Arabidopsis thaliana: one gene and its partners. The protein of the gene in region 1 interacts with the protein of each later gene in a pairwise test. Each region holds a gene or a part of one and is shown in the gene's direction. Other genes may lie near its edges.

Region 1 (7,865 bases):
TTTGATCAAATTCTATAAAAGTTTAGCATAACACATCATTGTTTAGCTATTTAATAAGAAAACTCCAAATTAATATTCTTAATAACTTCTATCCTAATGACCCATGTGAAATTATACTCTTTAATTATACGCTCTCATAATCTCATTACATAGCATATCAATAATACATAAATCACTAAACTATAGTATGTTGATAAGTGATAACAAAACTGTCAAACTTTAATTATAGTCTTTGCGTGATGTAATAAAAAAAAAATCATTAAATGTCTGTCAAAAAATTAAAAAAGTCATTAAATGTATGAAAAGTCATTAACTACTGTGTGTGACCACAACAATCTTGTAACAGCTCATCTTCAAAGTGTAATAATAACATAACACAATTTTTTATTTTCACTTCAGAGGTTTTTTTTTTTCCTATGCCGTCACGAACACTCCCGTCGCCGGCACCGGTAAATTCACCGTTCTCTTCCTCCGTCACACCTCACCATGAAACAACCACCACACGCATCTTCCCTCCTCTTGCAGCTGTAGGTTTCTCTCTCTTCATAACTCTCTCCATCTGTTTCTGCAAATTCAACCGCAAACGCCGATCTCCCGCCGCCGTAGCCTCCTCCTCTACACCGCCGCAGAAACAACCGTTACACGAGTTCTCCTACTCATCTCTCCGTAAAGCCACCGCTTCTTTCTCACCGGAGAATCGACTAGGTCAAGGCGGATTCGGCTCTGTATTCCGTGGAACTTTATCTCCTTCCTCCGGTGGTGGTAATGTCGCCGTTAAAGTAATGGATTCAGGTTCTCTTCAAGGAGAAAGAGAGTTTCAAAACGAGCTTTTCTTCGCTGGTAAGCTTGATTCTCCTCATGTAGTTTCCGTTATTGGCTTCTCTCGACGACGACGAAGCCGTTTGATTCTTGTATACGAGCTTATGGATATTGGAAATCTTCAAGATGCTCTTCTTCATCGTAGATCTCCTGAGCTTATGATATGGAATCGAAGATTTCTCGTTGCGATTGATATAGCTAAAGGGATTGAACATTTACATAGCTTGAATCCTTGTGTGATTCATGGAGATTTGAAACCTAGTAATGTATTGTTGGATCGATTCTTCTCTGCTAAGATCTCTGATTTTGGTTTAGCTAGGTTGAAATCTGAACATGTTGAAGTTAAAGTAGTGTCTGAGAGTGATGTAGTGGAAGATTATGGTTCTGTAGTTGAAGAAGTTGAGAGTGTTGTTACTAATACTACTGGTTGTGATGAATCTAACTTTGGATTCACTGATCAGTCTCCGGTGCCTCTTTCATCGCCGGAGATGGTGGAGCAGGTGCCTATGACGTCACCGGAGACAGTTGTATCGGTTTCTCCGGAGATGGGGGAGAAAGGAAGTGTGTTGGAGGTTGGTAATGTGGTGAGGAGTAAAGATTGGTGGTGGAAGCAAGAAGGGAATGTTGGAAGAGGGAAAGGGAAGGAGTATGTGATGCAATGGATTGGTTCTGAGGTGAAGGAAGAGAGACAGAGTAGTGATTGGATTGCTGAGACGGCGGAAGGCGGTAAGAAAGTTGAGAAGAAGAAGAGTAGTAAGAGATTAGAATGGTGGCTTTCGTTGGATGAAGAGAAGGAGAAGGGGAAGAAGAAGAAGCGGAGAATGGTGAGAGAGTGGTGGAAAGATGAGTATAGGAAAGAGCTTGCTAAGAGAATGAAGAAGAAGAAGAAGAAGAAAACTTTGGAGTCTGAGTTTTATAGTGATGATGTGAGTGGAAGTGTGGATCAAAGGCGGCACGGGGATGGAGAAGTGTATAGGAAGAAAAGAAGAGGTGTTAGTAGTAACAGTATAGGTAGTAGCATAGACTGGTGGTTAGATGGGCTAAGCGGTGAACAATGGAGAGCACGGCGTAGAAACAGTCAAGATTCAGTTAAGAGTTGCGGAGTCAGTAGCACGCCGAGCATGAGAGGGACGATGTGCTATGTTGCTCCTGAGTGTTGTGGTAATAACATAGATGATGTGTCTGAAAAATCTGATGTGTATAGCTATGGAGTTTTGTTGTTAGTCCTGGTTTCAGGACGGCGGCCGCTGGAAGTAACTGGACCCGCGTCTGAGATCATGCTGCGTGCAAATCTCATGTCGTGGGCGAGGAAGCTGGCGAGAAGAGGGAGACTCGGTGATCTGGTGGATGAAAAGCTGCAGTTGTTAGACCAAGAACAAGCGGTTTTGTGCATTAAGGTGGCTTTGCAATGTCTGCAAAAATCACCGGTTTCACGACCTTCAATGAAAGATGTTTTAGAAATGCTTACAGGAGCGATAAGCCCACCGGATTTGCCTACAGAATTCTCACCATCACCGCAGACTCGGTTCCCGTTCAAGGCACGAAGGAAGCAGAATCGATAGAGCGGTTTCTTTGGTGGTAGATGTGTGTTGGTTTATAGCATTTGTCCTACAACACTGTCTTTGTTAGTGATGTTTTAGTGTTTGAGCCACTTATATTTGTTTGCACAACGGTGTTTTAGCTTCGTATATCTGATTATGATTAATTATTGTAGTTTAGTGATCATTTTCTTGTAAAACTCAACATCAATTTTTGCTAGTTTTTCTCGTAGATTTATGCTGAATTTGCATAAAGGATGCAGCATATGAAGAGTATTCTGAGATTTGATATAAAAAAATCTGTTGAAATCTCTAAAAGTCATATGTTTGTACAGGATCCTCGTTATTGGGCCTATTAGGAAATTATAGTGGCCCTAATCTAGTCATTACGTCTTATACACTTGGTTAGGACTGGCCCTTTGTTGAATATCAAAATACAATTGGTCTATTGGGCTTTGGAGAACGTTATATTTCTAATTTTTTTCTAACATTATAAATTCATGAAACCACTAACTTTTGGGCAAAGCCGGTCTTGAAGATATAATTTTTTTACGACAAAAAAAAAAAAAAAAAGCCTCCAAGTTAAAAGAAAAAAAAAAAACATGTACATTAGTGAGTTTTGAAGAGAGAAAAAGGATATAATGGTGGGAGGGGTAAGGTGATTATTTTCAAAAAGCTTCAAAAACACGATTTAACCATATTGGTAGAAATAAAATCATATGAAATAACTTTTGGCCATGTTTACATATCTTTCGTTCGTATAGTTTTTCATAACGATTTTAGTTGTATGGTTAAAATTAGCTGACATTTACCATCTATAAATAACATATCAATGTCGTGCTGGTATAAACCTTTACTGTCCCACAACTACCAACCATACAAATACTAAAAAGAAAGTGTCAATTATCGCATAATTTACCACGAACAATCACTTTTCAAGTATTTTATTTTAGGTTGTATGTTTGTTTATTCTTTTTCAAGAAGTGATTTTCGTGGAAGTTTTAGTTATATATAAGCTCTATAGCGTTAATTTCCTGTTTTGGGCTCATAGGTGTGGTTCATGCGAAATACCGACTACCTTTTGCCAAAGATTTGTAAAACCAAAGTCTAATTGACGAAAATTACCACCACCTCACCTTGTAAGAAATGGCTTAATAATTACAGTCGTACTGTTTAAAACGGTATATCATTGAATATTGATGCCTTTCAAACGAATTTTGTTGACATCAACAATACGTTGATTATATATCATTTTGAGTATATTTTGTTAAAATTTTAATGCATTAATTAAAAAGACGATAATATTTAAAACAATTTCAACAAAACGAATACTTGTTACATAACATCTAACCAACCGGATAATTTGGTCGCTAAAATCTTTGTTTTTTAGTGAATTGCATGTGCAAAGTTTATCTTGAGAATTTGGAGGATGTCTTAAAATGTAGAATGGTAATAAGAAAAGAGTAAGCATGTGATCTCGATCGGAATAGAACATCACATATTTGATTATATTATTAACTATAGAAGAAGAGCTGATGAAGACCATCACTGCGTGCGTACCCTATCAAACGTATTTTTAATTCTTTTTCCGATACGACTAACCAACGTATCTTCTTCTCTCTATTAAATAATATTATCAAAATATCTTTTTTTAAATTAATTTGCTCAATCTTCAAGACTGCAATAATTTTTCAACTTTACAACAAAGCCCTGAGCTGTTCTTCTAAAGACTAAGATCACAAAATCCGCATAAGATCAGATCTTGCTGTCTCATCTTCATCATCAGAAGTAGAGAATCTTTTAAAGGAATATTTACTTTTATTAATTTAAGACCACCAGATGGATGATTGTCGGGACAAGAGAAGAAGACGGTGTACGAAGCTGACATGTGGTACTGATAATAACGACATGGAGAAGATGATGCACAGAGAAACTGAGAGGCAAAGGAGACAAGAAATGGCTTCTCTTTATGCCTCTCTTCGTTCTCTTCTCCCTCTTCACTTCATCAAGGTCTCACACTCCCCTAAAAACCCTAATCCTGATTTCGGTTCTTCATGACTTCTTAGATCTACTTAATCTTTGTCCTTTTATTTAGTCTTCCATGTAAGAAAATGAAAAAGGGATATAGTAACAAGTGTTTTGACTTTGTGATGTTACTTAACTATAGTGTTTTTCTTAAAAGGTTCCTAAATAGATCTATTGCTTTCTTGGTTTGTTTTGTTTCTTGGCGGATTCTTTTGCTCTCTCTAGGGTAAGCGTTCGACGTCAGATCAAGTCAACGAGGCGGTGAACTACATAAAGTATCTACAGAGGAAGATCAAGGAGCTAAGTGTGAGGAGAGATGATCTCATGGTACTGTCTAGAGGAAGTTTATTGGGTAGTAGTAATGGTGATTTTAAGGAAGATGTGGAGATGATAAGTGGGAAAAATCATGTGGTGGTTCGTCAGTGTTTGGTTGGTGTGGAAATCATGTTGAGTAGCCGCTGCTGCGGTGGCCAACCGCGGTTTTCGAGTGTTCTTCAAGTGCTTAGTGAATATGGTCTCTGCCTTCTTAACTCCATCTCCTCTATTGTTGATGATAGGCTAGTTTACACCATACAGGCCGAGGTAAACCTATCCTACCCTCATAATCTTAGTTACTTATTTCAGCTGCGATATAGACATCAATTGCTCCAAAATATTTTTATTTTTTTCTAAAAATACTTTCTATTTCGAACTTTTCATTAAATTCTTTAACAAAATGCAAATCAAAGTTCTCCATAAACCTTTCGTTTTGTTTGGTTTTCATGTTTGTAGTTTATAAAAATGGTTGGTAAAAACAAGAATTTGTGTGGTTGCGTTGTAAGATACACATACACACAATTTCATAACATCTCAATTTAGATTCAAAAAAAAAGAAAAGAATTGAGGTCTTTGCTAATATATGTATATACTATCGACATTTGAATCCATCAGATTGTGGACGTTAGTAGGAACCTTATATATCTTTCTATCTTAAGCATCAAATATTTGAAAAGAAGAAATCATAATTGCAACTGTCCATATATACAAGAAAATGTTCTCACATGTGGTAATTAAAATTTATATCCCTCATGCATTTAAATATATATATCACCTCATGGTGTATGTATTGAATTTTGAAAACTATTATATTTCTGGAGGTTAGAGGGTGCATGTGCATTATCAAGGTATTTCAATAATTCTGTCCCAGGTTAGAGGGTGGCATGGAATATCCAATTATAGAACAAAATGATCAATTAACTGTGCCTGTTGTTTGATTTTGTCTTCGAATTTTCTTCAAAGCAAAAATCTTACTCGTATGAAGAGATGTATACTTCGTATATATACTACTATACATAAGAGTTTGGTACATTTGAGTATATATATTGAAAATTTCTTTTGTTTTGCAGGTCAACGATATGGCTTTGATGATTGACTTAGCAGAACTTGAAAAGAGATTAATCAGAATGAAGTAAATTCTTGTTGAGTAGGTTGCTCTTAACTTGTCAAGTAAACGACATATATAGTTAAGTACGTACTTTATTCGTACCTGTGATTGTTGTGTCGTGTTCACATCTATCTGTATGTATATTATGTTTATTCCATCTGATTGTCATTAGCTCATTTAGTTGTTTATAGATCGGAAAATTATGTTTCCCATAAGCTGAGTTAGTACTTCATGGTTATATGTTTTTTTTAATATTTTATGGTTATATGCTATGATTGGGATTTTATTTGATCAATTTCAAAAAGAAATTAAAGTTTTTAGTGGTGTCTAGGCAGTGTTTGAAGCTGGTAGCATTCGTTTATTAAAAAAAAAAAAGAGTTGGTAGTATTCTGCTGATTTATATATAAGAAAAACCAACGAAAATTTACAAAATAAGAATTTATAATTGTAAGACAAGACTATAATATATTAAACTCATTAAGTTGCACATATTAGTGCTCGTATAAGAATCTGTTTACAAACAAAAAAATGAAGCATATATGAAACAGCTATTAAAGTATATACAAAATTAAGCAAACAAACTATATAGTATTATAAAGATTTTTGTAGCTTCAATCTGCTTTAATCTTAATTTGTAGGATAAAAATATGAGTTTCTTATTATGAACAGCTAAGTATTTTCCATCTTTTTAAAGGTCAATATTTGGATATTATAAAACTGATACTATATTTTATCAAAATGTATAGTACAGTGAGTTACGTTGTACTAGCAACGCAAGTGAAAGTTTTATTGAAATTCCAATATAATACATTTGTGAATTTTTTATATAAAAAAATGCTTGCGGTTAGTTAGCATTTTGGTTTCACAAAACTAAAATATCTTAAAAGTTTTATTTTTTTGGGCGACATATACAACGATATGTTCATGATGATGAACTTTTACAAAACAAACCTAACTGAAAAAGCATAAAATTATTGCCAGACAATATATTATTAAAGTCTCATTAATAATTTCAAAACAAATTCGGTTAAGTGAACTTTTTATGAAAAGAAAACAAATACTATGTATTAAACATATACAACAAGAAAACATTAAACATGCAAGATCCTACGGGGAAAACCGTTAGAAATGGATTTTCGAGATTTTTGACGGAATTCGACCGTCGAATATACAACATTGGAAATCAAAATCTGTTGGAAATGTTTTGGAATTTTCCGATAATTGTTTTTAATTATTTTAAAATATTATGAAATTAAATTCAAATTCGATTTATAAATAAGAATCTTGTATTTATACAACTCGGAAGCTCTAGTTATCGTTATTATTTTCTTTTCTCTCAACCTATTAGAAACTATCACTAGGATCATCAAAATCAAAGATTTATCGAGTAAATCTCCCAAAAACGAATCGACTAGATTTTCTGTTTCCGATCAAAACTATTGTTTTAAGACTTTAAGTAGTCCCATACTAAAAAAAAAAAAAAAAAAAAAAAAGTAGTCCCTTACTACATCAAATTCGTCTTCCTTGACGGCAGTTCTACTGTTTACCTTTCTAACAATTTGATTAGAAAATACTGTTAGATTATTATAAGTGGTTGGTTTGTAACTGAACACGGCTTACACACAGAACAAAAATCAAACTTGAGGTTATAATGAATAACTACATAAACTCACATGTGGCATAATGCATGCTCGAAATAATTTGGGAGAGTGGGATCCATGAGATGCTAATGAGGCTGGGATATTTTAGGACAAATGAAACAGCTGGTTTCCATCTATTAATAACCAGGATCTTTCTTGTCTCCTCTTCCACCTTGTCTTGAAGTTGCATGAGCTGTCCTAGGCCTATCTTTTAACTATGTCCACTCCACTTCACTCATCCTATCCACTTAGCTTATCCCCATTATTAAATGTGTCTCCCTTGGTTTTACTATTTATCTTTATCATATTTTGATTGAAAAATATCGTGAGGTTAGTTTCTAGAAGTTTTACCCGATGACAATCGAAATTGCCAAAACAACAAAAGAAACTGATAAGATATTTTCTCTGTCCAAGTGAATG
Region 2 (8,164 bases), 320 kb from region 1:
ATGCTTTTTAAGGACTTGTCTTTGGTGCCCATGCAAAGAGGAGTTTTTATGTTGGGGTTCGACGTCAAAAGAGTTTAGGATTTCATAACCCAAAAAATAAACTAAAGTGTAGGATAATACACATGGAATCAATCAAACATAACAAGGTCAAATATATGACGTGAAGAAGTAAGAGAATTGAAGAAAACCAATAAAAGCATATGGAACCGACTAGCTACTACCAAATCCTAAACCAACAAAAGCTCACATGAACTAATTCTTTGAATGTTCTTCATATTGTCCACATTTTTAACCTAATCTACACATCATTAGGTTATCCGTGAATAAACAATAGGAATTTTGAAAAATATGATACTGCTTTTCAAAACTACTATTAAGAGAAAAGCTTTTCAAAAAAATCACTTTATAGTCTGTATATAAGACTTTACAAACCTTGTAAAACCATATAAAAACTTATAATAATCTAATTACATTTTGACGTAATATCTTTGAGTTCCTTTAAATATAATAAGGAACACTGAAATTGATATAACATAGGATTAAGATAAAACGTTTCATGTTGAATTTGGTATTAGTGTAGAAGAAAGCGATGTCACATATTGGAACATAGCTAGTGCCAGTTTGCACAGGTACTATTAAATCTTCGGAGATTTTGCATAGATTCGTAAATTGAATAGATAAAAAACAAAAGGAGAGTCGTACCATCACAAAACTCATCAATTTTTAATTAGAATTTTTTTCTCTTTGTTACTATTTTATTGCATTGTAGGCGATGATATGTGAGTAAAAGGTTATCTCTCGTATCATGCGGATAGAGACTTCTATGAATATCTATTTCGTAGACGTAACCGTACGTTAATTAGTCTATTGCCAGGTTGATTTATTTGTATTCTTCTTAGTAGAGAAAATCAATACTTCACTAAACAAAATGGAAATAATATGGTAGAAGGACATAAAACTGTTTTGATAATAGAGAAGAAAACATATAGAGATGCAACATATTTGAATAACAAATATAATGAGATTAAGCTAAATAAACGAAGTGATTAATAGAGATCTATAACAGTTATGAGATCAACCTAACTTACTTCATATATCTTACAATCGTCACATAATTCACTAGACTTATCGGCCAGAAAACGCCGTAAAATGGAAGTTGTTTCTTTGCATTTGTAAGTAATGTTTTGGGATATAGGATGGTAGAAGAAAACTTTGAGTCAATTTCTTAGAGTGAAGTAATGTACCTAATCTATCTCGTAATTCAAGATTCATTTTCATATCATCCTTTCGTAATTAGTCTCGTGCACTTATTCTTTTCTTTAAATGTGATCTTGAATATTCAAAACACAGTACAAATAATAGATCAGCCGCTAATTAAATGCGTTAGATAAAGAATAAAGGTTTTGTGCAAGTACCCTGATTTGAAAAGAAGCAAAAGAGAGATATTGGTGAAGAAAATATGATGCCAATAAATGTTTATTCCTCATCCGGATGAAACGTGCATAATCTCTATCATCTTCGGGTTATGATAATTAATTACAAGCTCATGCGGACCTTTGACATGTAAATTATGTCCAAAAGAACAATCATAATGTTTTCTTGGTTCCTAATTAGCATGTTTTCTTTCTGCTCTAAACTTGATCTCAAAAAGAAAATCATAATAGAAAGTCCATAGATCGTATTCGTACGTATACAATTGATAATTAATTAATCGTAGATTCGCTTAATGTTTTTGTTAAGTACGTGTCATAATAATAATTTATAAATAGAAGAAAGGAATTATAATAGTCTAAATAATTAAGGACATGGATTGTGATAAATTTTGATGGTCAAGTACTCGTTTTTTCGATTATTACTATAAGAGTACCCGATTATATCAAAACAAAATGGAGATTTATGATTTTTTGTCTTCTATGCATACCCAACGGTATCATGGGATTGGACTTCACACCTTATTCACAATTTTTTTTCTTTTGTCCTTTTCTGAAAAGGAAATTTCCTATGTCGATCCAAAGTGGGAAATGGACAAAAGTTTTTATTTTCTCTAACAAAAATGGACAAAAGTTTGTAGTATTATGGTATCCACATAGAGATTATTATTGAGAAGATCACGCGGCATTACATATTTAGTTCTAAATGTACAGTATTTTGGATAGGGTAATATATCTCTCTACTATCTAGTCTTTAATTATATCTGACTCGTTAAACTGTGCCTATATATTGATCTATATATTAGCTGTGGCAAAGGTTCTGCAATCTGATAAAGTAAAATTGATTGATAAATGATAAATATTGCTCTTTTGGTGTACATTAACTTTTTTGATATGTGTATTATAGGTCCGACCCTCTTATAAAGTAAAACAAGCCATAGCTTTAGGGCATTTCTAAATATAGTTCGTTGTTAGGGCGACAATATTGAATGCTTACGTGAGTGTAGTTGATGGTCAATACAAATACATCAATTGGTTTTAGAGAACATTTTCCTCGAGTTCGACTGCCCACGTTGGTCGTTCTTTCGTTCATTTAATGGGTTTAGTTGATTACTTCTTTTTATAGTACATTTATTGTTTTCACGTTATGCGCTATTATATTCTTATAAAAAAAGTCTTAATTAAATGATATATTGATCAGTATTTGTCTTGTTTAGTTTTACAACATGGTTGTATTACAAATTATGTAGTATTTATAATCTTATATTTCAAAACATAATTTATTCTCTAAATAACATAAAACTATGGAGAATACAAATTACAACAAAATTTAAAATTATAAGTTCTTACATAAAGTAATTTGAAACAAATTTTCTAAAATATCATGATACCCATAGAGTAATAAAACTAAACAAAATAAATAGACAAATATTCCATGAGTTTGCATTTGAAAAAAAAAAAAAAAGAGAACATACGTATCTAAGAATGATGAAAGATCATTAGTCACCTAATTTTTGAAATTCAACATTATTTACTTAAATTTTCATTTTTACTCTTCCATGGTTACTCAATGCAATTACTTAAATATACAATCTCGATATTATATATAAACATATCATCTAACATAAATTACCCGCCGAAATATGGTAGTAATTTCTTCTCAAATAAAAAGGTATCTTCAATATACAAGTGGTCCCTAAAATACTCTTTCTTCTGTTTCTCCTTGTTTCTTTGAATAGTGAATACAAAAGCAATTCCTTATATAAACCACTTCAAGTCCTTAATCTTCTCTCACAAAGAAAAAACACTATCTCTATCGACAAAGATAAGAGAACTCAGAAGCTTCTACTCTTAAAATGGCAACTTTCTCTTATTTCCAAAACTACCCTCATTCCCTTCTTGATCCTCTTCTCTTCCCTACACCTCACTCCTCCATTAATCTCACTAGTTTCATCGATCAAAACCATCTCTATCCACTACCAAACATTTCCACAGTTGAAGACATTTCCTTTCTTGAATATAATGTTGACAAAACTGAAAACTCTGGTTCAGAGAAACTGGCCAACACAACCAAAACAGCAACCACCGGTTCTTCTTCCTGCGACCAGCTCAGCCACGGACCATCAGCCATCACCAACACCGGAAAAACCCGTGGGAGGAAGGCCAGAAACAGTAATAACTCCAAGGTATGTTAAACCAACTTGTAATGTATCATCTATCATTTATGTGATGGGGTTGGGATAGTCAAAAACATAAATGTTGGTGTGGTTTGGTGAATTAGGAAGGAGTAGAGGGAAGAAAAAGCAAAAAACAGAAGAGAGGAAGCAAAGAAGAGCCTCCAACAGATTACATTCACGTTCGAGCTAGAAGAGGCCAAGCTACTGATAGCCACAGCCTTGCTGAGAGGGTATTTTAGTCATTTCTCTTAACATTTTAATTTTTCTTCATTAATCATGTTTTCATAAAATACATTTTGATTAATATTTGATTAAACTTATATATATATATATGTAAAGGTGAGAAGGGAAAAGATAAGTGAGCGGATGAGGACTCTGCAAAACCTTGTTCCGGGCTGTGATAAGGTCAGCTAGAGTAGAGACAATTTTATTTAGGAGAATTGATAATGGTTTAATTTTATAATGTTTCTAGAAAATGTTATTAATTGATTAAATGTGACTTGAAAACGAATAGGTAACAGGGAAGGCCCTCATGTTGGATGAGATTATAAATTATGTCCAGACCTTGCAGACTCAAGTTGAGGTGCATTTTCTTAATTATTTTGTTTTTTCTTGTAACATTTTATGTTAAAACTAATGTTTCTAATTCATAACTTTTTTTTCTGTTTCATTAGTTTCTCTCAATGAAGCTAACTTCTATAAGTCCGGTGGTCTATGACTTTGGCTCCGACCTTGATGGCCTCATACTTCAATCTGAGGTATTTCATTTACACAATGTCTCTTAATCCGGTTACCGATAAAACCAAGTCATGTATCCCGAAAAGCCGGTTATGGATCTTAAGTAGATATTTTCTTGATGGACAGATGGGTTCTCCAGAAGTAGGAACGTCTTTTACCAATGCAATGCCAACAACTACTCCTATCTTTCCTTCACTATTGGATAATTCTGTAGTTCCCACACATGCACAAGTTCAGGTTTTTCATTTTTTTCTATAAGTGATTATTTCAGATAATAATTATAATAAGGAGAATGAAGATAGATAAGAATCAATTATTGGAAGATTAATAGATAGTGATGTGTTGCTTAATTTAGGAAGAGGGAGAAGAAAGAGAGAACTTTGTAGACAGAAGTGGGTTCAACAACAACAACTTCTGTTCTTTCCCTTGATAAAATTACATGTCGACACAAACACAAAAGCCTGCTTTCGTGAGTTTCTTCTGGTCTTGTCTCTTCAACTACCTAATTATTATCATTACAATTATTTTTAACATTTCTCATATAGAAATTGTTAAAAATCTTGATGTGGGTTCGTAATTATTGCTATCGTTTATTGGATGTAGGTTGATTTAATCTCCTCCCATTTGCACGGAGGGAATAAAATCTACGTAAACCAGGTTTTGTAAAAGTGGATGTACTTATTTGTTCCGTTTATATAGTTTGAAGAAATAAAGTATTTTAGAGACTTAAAAAGCTCATTTTCTCTATTTGTCCCGAGAGTTTCAACATAATCATTACATAAAATCAATGGATAAATTCATACTAAAAGAGAATGGTATATGAGGCAGAGGCAAATTCGATGGAGGAAAGAAAGACATATAAACTAAGAAGACCTATCAGCTTAATCATTGTTTTTTTTAATATAATTGAATTTTGATGTATCCACTCATTAATTTTATAAGTTCTTGTATTTTCACCACTTCTGTCTTTCTGATTTCTTGCACCAAAGTTTCCTTTTTCCTCCAATCTTTTTAAATGTAAACTGTTATCCACACACTCATGTTATATTTCCTATATATATAAAAATGTTCGAGGGATAACTACTTATGCATGTATATAAATCTAAATGATTCGTTTCCTGTCAATTTAGTTGGCTACAAAATTATGTCAGAAGAAAAGATTAGATTTCCCTTCCTGAGAACACTTTAATGTACCTGTTGAATAGTTTGGTCATGCTTTTCTGCTCTCACTTGTCACACATTGATAACTCCCATTCCTCTGTATCTGTCCTTTCACAATACATATGTTATAAGTTTTATTTTAGTTTAGAGTATGTCTAATATATATATACCAAAATTCTTGAAAGAGATATTTGATACTGTTGTATTTGTAAATATGATTTGTTGGTTGTCTAACATTTTCATGAGGTGGTAATTAACGATTCCTTGAGTTATTCAATCCTAAATTGCAGGATTTATTTGAATACACCTAAATAAATTATATGCAAGAGCCTTATGTATATTATCGTTATTCAGTTACATACATATTAATAACCTCTTTTATTAACGAACCTAGAATAGAGATTTTTTTGTATGATTTTCATTTCTTGATGTATATGTCAGGATGTATATGATTTGTGAGATTACTCTTCACAATTCAACAATTTGAGATTTTAGTTAAATAAGTAAAATTTAATTGATATCATCTCTTCTAAGATTTGTTATTGGACTATGGTTCAAAATTTTCACTTTTTCCCTTTTTTATTATTATAAATATGATATGTTGCTAGATGAATTGGGTCATCATTTTCTTGCAATTGTTTCGTCATGAATACGATTTTTTTTTTTTTTTTTAATCGAAAATGCATATGAATTTGGTCCCAAGTTATTATACGGCAAATTGATCAATCATAAAATACAATAACAAAGGAAATGCTAAGTTTCTCGTGGCACATAATTGTATCTGCTAACGGTTTCATCCTGAATCAATGGACAACACATTTCGTAAATCTTATGCACATCATTTCACCTCATATGTTTATTTCAAAGTATACCTCTTATAACTTTAACTGTGCGTTTCGATTCTTCGCATCATCAAACCTATCAAAATCAAACCCTAAATATCTGATGACACGTTTTATGCGAGAACGATTGGTAAGTTAACCGAAGGGTCCACGATTCAATTTGATAACACGCCTAGGTGAGAAAAAATGTTGTACATTATTACACAACTAATACAGCCAAAAAAAAAAAAAAAGCAACAATTCGAAGGCATGATTAAATGAGCAGTCCGGCCGTTAGTCGTCCAGAGATTTTCATGTCTATGTCTAGTCCCATCTCTTCTATTACACTCTTTTTCTTTGTTTGTTTTCATGTACCTAACTTCATTTCCACGTGTACATGAATCATTCTTCCATTACAAAAACTATAAAGATAGTAGCTAGCCAAGATGGCTGTTGAAATTGCCATTCTTCTATCCCTCTCAAAGTAGTGAATGGTAAGTGAACAAGTAAACTCTATAGGACGATGAAAATGTAAATACGTATAGATATATAATGACGTAGTAGTTCTAGAAAATACAACCTTATTAACCAAAATAACATCATCAAAAGTTTTGAAGTTGAAGAAACACTGATACTAGGTCATATTTAAGCTTAAAATTATTATTTTCTATCAGTATACTAGTCGACCAACTATTGTTACTGGTTTAGAAGCAGGTTCAGTCTTTATCAGTTGGGTTATCAAGAAAGTAGACCAAGCACACACTTTAGAAAGCCCATTAACAACAATGAGCAACAAAGACTAATATTTCAGTTTACTTATAGGCCCATAAGAATTGAGTACCAAACAAACCTTAACTAGCTAGTAGCTACTCTTATATATTTTACCGATAGTCTTTGACTCTTTGTTATAACAACGGATCGATTTTAACAAATATTCTATGGAAATGGTAAACGATTCATTAAAAACTTGATTTCGTAAACCTAATTTTAACACCAAAATTTCACTGGTTTTATATGGAGAACATTCGCTGCGTTTGCAGTAGGCTAGTTGCCGTACACACACTGAATCGATAACAAGATGAATGTTGTATGATTGTATCAAGCATCGTCGGTGTAATCATCTTCTTCTTTTTCGTTTTTTTTTTTCATTTTAGATCAATCCATTTTCGATGATGGGCACATTTGTTTTTTATTCCAAGTTATTTCGATTCTTAATTATGCATTAGCCTTCTTCGTTTTAGATTGGCAAGTCATTTCGTCAATATTGATCTTGTAATTTACTAAAAACTCCGTCACACCCAAAATAAACCAAAATGTAATTTACTAAAGAAGTTATGAAGAAATGTTATAGTTCGAAACTATAATGAATGAAAATACTAGTAGTCACACCCGTGCTGCTATAAACTATATATATTCATATTTGTTTTCATACGGAGTGTATTAAATTGATATCATAGTGGGGAACAATTAGATATCAAATTAGAGATTTAGAGTTATTATATTATTTAGTACATCAGCAGCATTGGTTATGAACCCTAATTGTTCAAGCAGAATTTGTAGTTTTAGTAAAAACTTTTTATCATTTTTTCTATTTTAGCAATGTATTGATACCCATGTATAATTTGAATGTTAGGATCGACTTCAGATTATAAAATATACTCCAAGTTGCATGCACATACTTTTAAAATCTAAGCTGGGTTCAGTCATTGGTTAATTCATACTAACCCTTAGCTTTTAATTTAGCTTTTTGACTTTACATTATTAAAACGTTTTCTTATAACATTTACTATCAAGTCTTTTACACCACTGACGGATCTACTAAAGAAGGAAAATCTTT
Region 3 (7,841 bases), on another chromosome or scaffold:
GGTAAACTTAAAGACAAACTTCAAGTCTAATTGACAACTTCAAATTATTCTAAGAGCCATAAAACTATCTGGTTCATCCAAGTCGTTTATCGACCCATAGAATCTCCGGAACGTAGATAAGTTTTTGCGCTTGGTTGCTCTCTTTGGGCCTCTTAAGATCTCCTTGGCACCATCGGAAGGCTTCAAAATGATCAAATTCTTTATTCTTGTACCAAATGATGTAAAACAGAATTAGGATAATTAATAATCTTTATATTTTATTTCTCTATTTTTAAAATAACTACTATGGTTATCCTAATTGAATTATGATAATATTTGACTATTGTGTGTTTGTACATAAATTTTTTACAGACCTGGATTCTCCATTCAGAGTTCGAATCGAGACGTTTCCATTTATTTATATTTTCTCGTTTGGAATTTTCCAAATTCATCATTACAGAAAACAAACGTTAACATTCCATCAATATGTAATGTTGTACTTTTTTTTGTTTTTGTATTTTTCAAAATTTCAATTAATTGAGTCCCGTTGAAAGTCAGAGACGTCTAAGATAGGCCGAATAATTTTCTTCGTAACCATAGCAGCCGAAGTAATTCTGTATATTATTTTATTTAGTCAGCCTAGCATTTATCATTAGCCCATTATATAACTTTCAAAATGGGCCTGTTATTCTGTACAGCCTAAAGATTCAATTGTTTCGTTGAAAAACAAACAATTTCGTGGACTATCGTCAATAAGATTATGCAAAAAAAAACAAAAAAATTATGAACTTTAATGGAAATTCAGACGATATGAAGAGAGAGTTTGGCTTTTGTTTCAAGATTCTTTCCACTCTCTGTGTGATATCAGAATTGGCCCAAATCGGAATCTGATGTCGCTTAGATTTCGTCATTGTTACATTGGGTCTTTACTTAAATATATTTTCTAATGCTTCTACACATGTTATACAATATGATTTGAGGTTTGACTCTCTGTTATGGTATGAGTATGTTGTCATATCATTTAATGTGAATTTTTGGTTTGCTCGCATCCTTGTGTAGTTGTGGGATGCATGTCTCTGTTTTTTCCACCTTTAAAAATCTCCTTCAAGTCTCAAACTCTAACACCTTACTCCTGAATTGAGTTTCTACTATCTTGTTGTAAGGTATCAAATCTATATACTGTATTCATAGGATTGCGTATAGAACCCATTGAATATTGATTCATGCTCTAAAGTTACAATCTTTTTTGCTGCAGATGGATTCAAGAAGAAGTAAAGTTTGTGGAGAAACAGCTTGTGGGTTTTCAACATCTTCAAGTGATGCTAAGAAACGAGCTGCTTCAATGCGAAAGCTCTGTTTCGTTGTGGTGTTATGTCTTTTGTTCATGAGCATAGAAGTTGTTTGTGGCATTAAGGCTAACAGTTTGGCTATATTAGCAGATGCAGCTCATTTGCTCACTGATGTTGGTGCTTTTGCTATCTCTATGCTCTCCTTGTGGGCTTCTTCTTGGGAAGCAAATCCGCGACAGAGTTATGGGTTCTTCAGGATAGAGATTTTAGGCACTCTTGTCTCAATCCAGCTCATTTGGTTACTCACTGGGATTTTGGTCTACGAAGCCGTAACTAGACTCGTTCAAGAGACCAATGATGATGTTGATGGTTTCTTTATGGTTCTTGTTGCTGCTTTTGGTTTAGTTGTAAACATCATAATGATTGTTGTGCTTGGACATGATCACGGACATGGGCATGATCATGGTCACAGTCATGATCATGGTCATAGTTATGGGGAAAGAGCTGAGCAGTTGTTGGAGAAATCCAAGGAAATAAGGAACATTAATGTGCAAGGGGCTTATCTTCATGTTCTTGGGGATTTAATTCAGAGCATTGGGGTAATGATTGGAGGGGGTATGATTTGGTATAACCCTAAATGGAAAGTAATTGACTTGATATGCACGTTATTCTTTTCAGTTATTGTTTTAGGGACAACCATTAAGATGCTTCGAAGCATACTTGAAGTTCTAATGGAGAGCACACCGAGAGAGATAGACGCGAGGCAGCTCGAAAAGGGATTGATGGAAATTGAGGAAGTTGTGGATGTTCATGAGCTGCACATATGGGCAATTACAGTTGGAAAAGCTCTGTTTTCTTGTCATGTCAAGGTTAGACCAGAAGCTGGTGATGAAATGGTGCTGAACAAAGTGATCGATTACATCTGGAGAGAGTATCGTATCAGTCACGTTACGATACAAATCGAGCGTTAAAACAACAAAAGGGTTCATTTCTCTGGTTTTCTGTCATTTTCATGATCAAAGTTAAATCTTTTTTCGCTTTCTCGTATGCTCTCATTACCTTGTTGTGACATATGCCATTGTCTTTCTTGTTTATGAATAAGTTGTCTTGTCTTGAAAAAGGTAATTAAAAGGACATAACTTTATTTGAGATTAGGGATTTGTGTTAAGTTACTACTAAAGAAAAATCAGAATCTTTAGGGTTTATCTTTGATAATAGACCTACCAAAAAGAGTGGGGCATGTTTGTCCTAAGAGCAAGTAACCATAGCTCGTGTGTGACAGTTAACAACCATATCCAGTACACAATTGATAAACAAAGATTCAACTTTCTTTGGAGTTTTGATGTGTTGATAAGGTTTCTAAGGTCTTCGTTAACCAATAACCATGCAAAGCACGAATGTTTTGTTTCTTTGCTCAAATTTTGTGAGACCGGATATGAAGTTACCCGTTTGGATTGAGCTTGTGGACATGTTGGGACATTTTTATAGGACAAACACTGTTTAATGCCGTAGCAGCCAAGGCATTTAGAGTCAACCTTTTTCTTTTAATTGTAATCAAGATATGTTTGATTGCAAAGTAATAAACAAAATCCCACACTTTAGAAACCTTACATCTATTAAAGGTTCGAATCATTAGAACATGATGGATGCATGCAAATGCAACATGGTATCTGTATAAAGTTTTAGCTTTTTGAGCCTTGAAGAAAAGGAATGGTGTGGTATGGGAATAGTGAAGAAAGGATGATTGAGACATCATGAGAAAGATGACACAAACCCAAAGGAAGAAGCTCTCTTACCCATGACATGTCTCTTTTTTACCTTCTTCTTCTGTGTAATTTAGAACTGTCCCCACAAAGTCTGTCTCCACTTCAAGACAAAACTGCTTCCACCAATAATATCTCTCTCTCATCTGCTCTGCTCAGCCTCACCAACTCTTACAGTACCCAAATACATCTATCTTATTACCTCTCTGTTTTTTACAGCTCCTCTGTTTCCACTCTACTCAATAGCTTTACTAAAGACTCACTGTTCTATATAAAGCTAACAGTTACAAGTCCATAAAAGCTCAGAATCAGAAGAGAGTACATGAGTTTCCTCTTCTGCCTCTTTGGTGATTCTTAGCATTTATTATTACTCACTCATCTTCTTTTCATTACATTACATACCAAACAAGAGCTCTCAAATGGAAAGGTTTCAAGGACACATCAACCCCTGTGTATGTATCTTTTGCTTGATTTAGAAAACTTTTAACTCTCTTTCTTCAATCTTTCTCTCTTCCCTTGAATCATTTTTTTCCATACTCAGAGACATGGACTTGCATTTACTCATTCCTAATTAGTCCAGATACTGTGCATTTAATGCTTTTGTTGTTTGTTTTAGAGAAAACAGTAACAATTCCTAATTAGTCCAGATACTGTGCATTTAATGCTTTTGTTGTTTGTTTTAGAGAAAACAGTAACAATTCTACAATCATTTTTGCTTCCCTTTCTTTGAAAACATTCCATTTTCCTTTCTATTTTTTTGCTTATCTCTGTACTAAGAACCAAACTAACCCACAGTAGAACTAAATTACACTTCTCTTTCAATCATTTGCGTCTCACCGGCTAATCTCATTCCTCTGTCATTTTTACAGTTCTTCGATCGAAAACCGGATGTGAGAAGCCTCGAGGTTCAAGGATTTGCAGAGGCTCAAAGCTTTGCTTTCAAAGAAAAAGAGGAAGAAAGCTTACAAGATACAGTTCCATTTCTACAGATGCTGCAAAGTGAAGACCCCTCATCGTTTTTTTCAATCAAAGAGCCAAACTTTCTGACGCTACTGTCTCTTCAAACCCTCAAGGAGCCTTGGGAACTCGAAAGATATCTTTCACTTGAGGATTCACAATTTCATTCACCGGTCCAATCTGAGACCAACCGCTTCATGGAAGGAGCCAATCAAGCTGTGTCAAGCCAAGAAATTCCCTTTAGCCAAGCAAACATGACACTCCCTTCTTCTACCTCATCACCACTCAGTGCACATTCAAGACGAAAGCGCAAAATCAACCACTTGCTGCCTCAAGAAATGACTAGAGAAAAGAGAAAGAGGAGGAAAACAAAACCAAGTAAAAACAATGAAGAGATTGAGAATCAAAGAATAAACCACATTGCTGTTGAACGAAACAGAAGACGTCAAATGAACGAACATATCAACTCTCTCCGGGCCCTTCTCCCACCTTCCTACATCCAACGAGTAAATAACCAAAAGCATACATGAAAGTTTCAACCTTTAATCATCAAAACCTTATCAAATGTTGTCCTGCAGGGAGACCAAGCTTCCATAGTAGGAGGAGCAATAAACTACGTGAAGGTCCTCGAGCAAATCATACAATCTCTCGAATCGCAAAAGAGAACGCAACAACAAAGTAACAGTGAGGTAGTAGAAAACGCACTTAATCATCTCTCAGGCATTTCGTCGAACGACCTGTGGACAACTCTTGAAGATCAAACTTGTATCCCCAAAATCGAAGCTACAGTGATACAAAACCATGTCAGCCTTAAAGTTCAATGTGAGAAGAAACAAGGACAACTTCTCAAAGGAATCATATCACTTGAAAAGCTTAAACTCACTGTTCTTCATCTCAATATCACTACTTCGTCTCATTCCTCTGTTTCTTATTCCTTCAACCTCAAGGTAAACACTACTTTCCATTTTTTACTTCAATCAACAAAAACCCAACATTGAAAATTGAATCTTTAATTAAAAAATCTTGTTTTTTTTTTCAATTGTGTCGGAGCAGATGGAAGATGAGTGCGACTTAGAGTCAGCCGACGAGATTACGGCGGCTGTTCATCGGATTTTCGATATTCCGACAATTTGATTAAACACATATAATTCCAAAAATATTAACAGCTGACAAAATGGTATCTTTTTTTTTTTTCCTACTTGTACCAATTTTTTAAGAATTAAGAGAATAAAAAAATTTCGTTTTTCGTTCTTTCATTTTCCTACTGACAGAATTAAATTCTGTTTTGTTCGTATATTATTGGATTGTTCGATTATTATTGTTCAGGCTTTGGGTGTTTTGTGAGATTGGGTCCCATCTTATTAAAAGTTTGATCTTATTCGTCTTTATTATTTCATCAATCATGGTTTGACTTTTGTCCCTATTTTAAGTGTTGACTTTACGATCATTGTCAATGGGATGTCGTGTACCAGACTTCTCGTTTCCAAATGGGACGTTTAGAGCTTTCGCCTTTGGAGTGATCCTCCTCGAGCTTCACACGGGAGAGTTTGTGCACCAACAAAGTTTGCATCTTTGGTATTTTAAGCTATTATTGATATTGGCACTATACAATGAGGGAGGCAAATACTTTTTGGTCACAGCATCAACAATATAGAGTAACCATTTCGAAATTTCAAGAGAATATAAGGAAAAGCCACAAATGTTATAGACTTGACCCAAGCAGAGCCAGGAAAGTTTCTTATATACAATGCCCGCGGTCTATTTTCGCTAAAGATGAGACCGACGATGCTGTAAGTTAGAGATGTAGTAGAGAATCCGCTTCTTGTCGTCAGGGGTTAATGAGAAAGAGGGGTTTAGAGATAGAGTCACTGCTTCCTCGATTATAAAGGAGAGTAGAAGAATTGCTTTCTTGTATAATGTTGCTGCACTTTCTTTGTTACTCAAATATTCTTCAGCCTGAAAAACAAATACAAATGGATCAACCCACTATGTTTCAGACTTTTAGGACAAATCAGTAGATAGAAAGGTAGAAAGAAGCTTTTCATAAAACTTTCAGACTTTAGAACCAAATGGTAAAAACATAAGCGAAAAAGATGGAAACTTTGTACTTACCCCACCACTCTTGCCATATGCTAGTGCCCTCTCGTATATTGTTTCCATGGCGTCAGGCATATGAGTGGCAGCTGTAATGAAACGCAGGAGATGCCTTCAGATAATCTCAAAGAAGCATAACAGAGAATTGCTCGGTTAGGTACTAACCACTTGTTTCGTTTAGTTGAGTTGATAAATTCTCGGCTTGGTTTAACGCGGTAACAAACTCTTGTGTCACCCACGTTTTAGCTGGTGCAGGTGAATTCAAATCTGGAATCGAAGTCTCAGGAGCCGTGGTTGGATCTGGGTTCACTTCATTCTCTCCAACGGACATCATCCAAGAATCACATATCTCTAAGGCTTTTCTCCAGACAGCTAAAACGACGAGCGTAACAGCAAAAGATTCCTTTACCTGCCCTGTATTGCCCTGTATGCAAAGGTGTTAGAAGCTCTAATGTTATCATTTAAGAACCCAGAGTTCAGGAGTTCAAGTTACCATCTCGCTAGCTAGTTCTGTAAGTGCTTGTGCATACTGATGCAAAAGTTGGAGTTTAGTTGGAGGATGGACAATCGTTAAGCGTTGTACTTCTGTTAGCAGATATGAAACGCTTGCTGGTCGTGGACCTGACACATCAGATAATGGTTTCTGTGCTTCAAGTGAACTCGATGAAACTTTTTCATTCCTTGGTAAGATATTAGGAAAACCGGAATCTTGCAATGATGTGTCGAAACAATCTGATGAACCTTCCAGCGAGGCAGAAGGACGGTTTACAAGAACATACTCTCTCTCTATGAGCTCGAGTGAATCAACAACTGCACGAATGACATAGCAAGAGTATGTGAGTAATACGATCTTATACAGAGCAACAGAGATCAGACATAAAATTGCGAATAACAAACCTCCAGATTGGTTTGATGAGCATTGTCCCTCAGTATCTTTTCTAGTCTTCTCAAAAGAGGTATGTGGCATTGAAATTTGAGAATTTGAGGCACTAGAGGAACTCCCATGTTTGTGAACATTCTCTGCACTTGATTTAAAACGGTTTGTACTAGTACTCGGTTGTGCGGAGGGCAACAGTGATTTCCCCGTACAGGTACTAAAACCAGAATGCTCAACATCCGGAATTTGTCTAACAACATTTAGTATGACATAATTAAGGGGAGAAAAATTATAGCTTTTGGATGATGAAGGTTGTTTTAGTCAAAATCTACAGACTTTACCTTGGCTCTCGAAGGAACATGTGATTGAAGAACTCTCGGAATGTCAAGCGTTCAACTGCAGTAAAAAAACCAGATGTTTCCATGAAAATTCTGAGTTGTGTGATTTGATTGATCATAAAGAAAAGTAAACAAAAAGAGAATCATATAACAATACTTGGGTTTCGGCGGAGAAGACTTCTGCACAGATCAACACAATCTGGATGAATCTCATTCCTAGTATCTTCAGGAAATTTCAGCTCAGTGTCTCTCACAATATTATGAAAAAGCTGCAGAGATCAGACACCAAAGAATAATAAAGGTCACAGTAAGTTCACTAAAAGTTCACATACGAGGCAATTCTATCGATTTAGGCTAACAACGAACCTGTATGTGATTATTTCCATCAAAAGGTGGTTTCCCAGTAACAAGTTGAAACAAAATCGCACCGGCACTCCATAAGTCAGCCTGAAACATCCATCAACAAGAAACTACTAAGAAGTAAAAAAAACAGAATGAGCAAAACTTTTCTTAAAATGAGGAAGTTTCTTCACCTTAGCATCAT

What was found.
Region 2: the proteins of AT5G51780 (region 1) and AT5G50915 interact in a two-hybrid assay, tested with the Arabidopsis thaliana proteins (one large-scale study listed by BioGRID).
Region 3: the proteins of AT5G51780 (region 1) and AT3G61950 interact in a two-hybrid assay, tested with the Arabidopsis thaliana proteins (one large-scale study listed by BioGRID).

Annotation. Positions count from the first base shown.
Region 1 is NC_003076.8:21,030,614-21,038,478, forward strand, and holds AT5G51780 (basic helix-loop-helix (bHLH) DNA-binding superfamily protein), read left to right. Parts: upstream 1-4,012; 5' UTR 4,013-4,196; coding exon 4,197-4,367; intron 4,368-4,607; coding exon 4,608-4,964; intron 4,965-5,767; coding exon 5,768-5,833; 3' UTR 5,834-6,160; downstream 6,161-7,865. Other genes in the region: AT5G51770 (Protein kinase superfamily protein), read left to right, coding at 417-2,381.
Region 2 is NC_003076.8:20,707,375-20,715,538, reverse strand, and holds AT5G50915 (basic helix-loop-helix (bHLH) DNA-binding superfamily protein), read left to right. Parts: upstream 1-3,074; 5' UTR 3,075-3,286; coding exon 3,287-3,616; intron 3,617-3,711; coding exon 3,712-3,837; intron 3,838-3,946; coding exon 3,947-4,012; intron 4,013-4,121; coding exon 4,122-4,190; intron 4,191-4,281; coding exon 4,282-4,365; intron 4,366-4,471; coding exon 4,472-4,582; coding exon of another isoform or gene 4,583-4,603; exon of another isoform or gene 4,604-4,700; coding exon 4,701-4,775; 3' UTR 4,776-4,814; exon of another isoform or gene 4,815-4,948; 3' UTR 4,949-5,436; downstream 5,437-8,164. Other genes in the region: AT5G50910 (uncharacterized protein), read left to right, coding at 6,257-6,478, 7,002-7,130.
Region 3 is NC_003074.8:22,936,211-22,944,051, forward strand, and holds AT3G61950 (basic helix-loop-helix (bHLH) DNA-binding superfamily protein), read left to right. Parts: upstream 1-3,177; 5' UTR 3,178-3,450; coding exon 3,451-3,483; intron 3,484-3,594; exon of another isoform or gene 3,595-3,900; coding exon 3,901-4,494; coding exon of another isoform or gene 4,495-4,518; exon of another isoform or gene 4,519-4,566; coding exon 4,567-4,935; coding exon of another isoform or gene 4,936-4,986; exon of another isoform or gene 4,987-5,041; coding exon 5,042-5,122; 3' UTR 5,123-5,272; downstream 5,273-7,841. Other genes in the region: MTPA1 (Cation efflux family protein), read left to right, coding at 1,235-2,239; AT3G61960 (Protein kinase superfamily protein), read right to left, coding at 5,756-5,944, 6,101-6,171, 6,248-6,506, 6,576-6,892, 6,980-7,209, 7,301-7,355, 7,455-7,566, 7,664-7,744 and 1 more.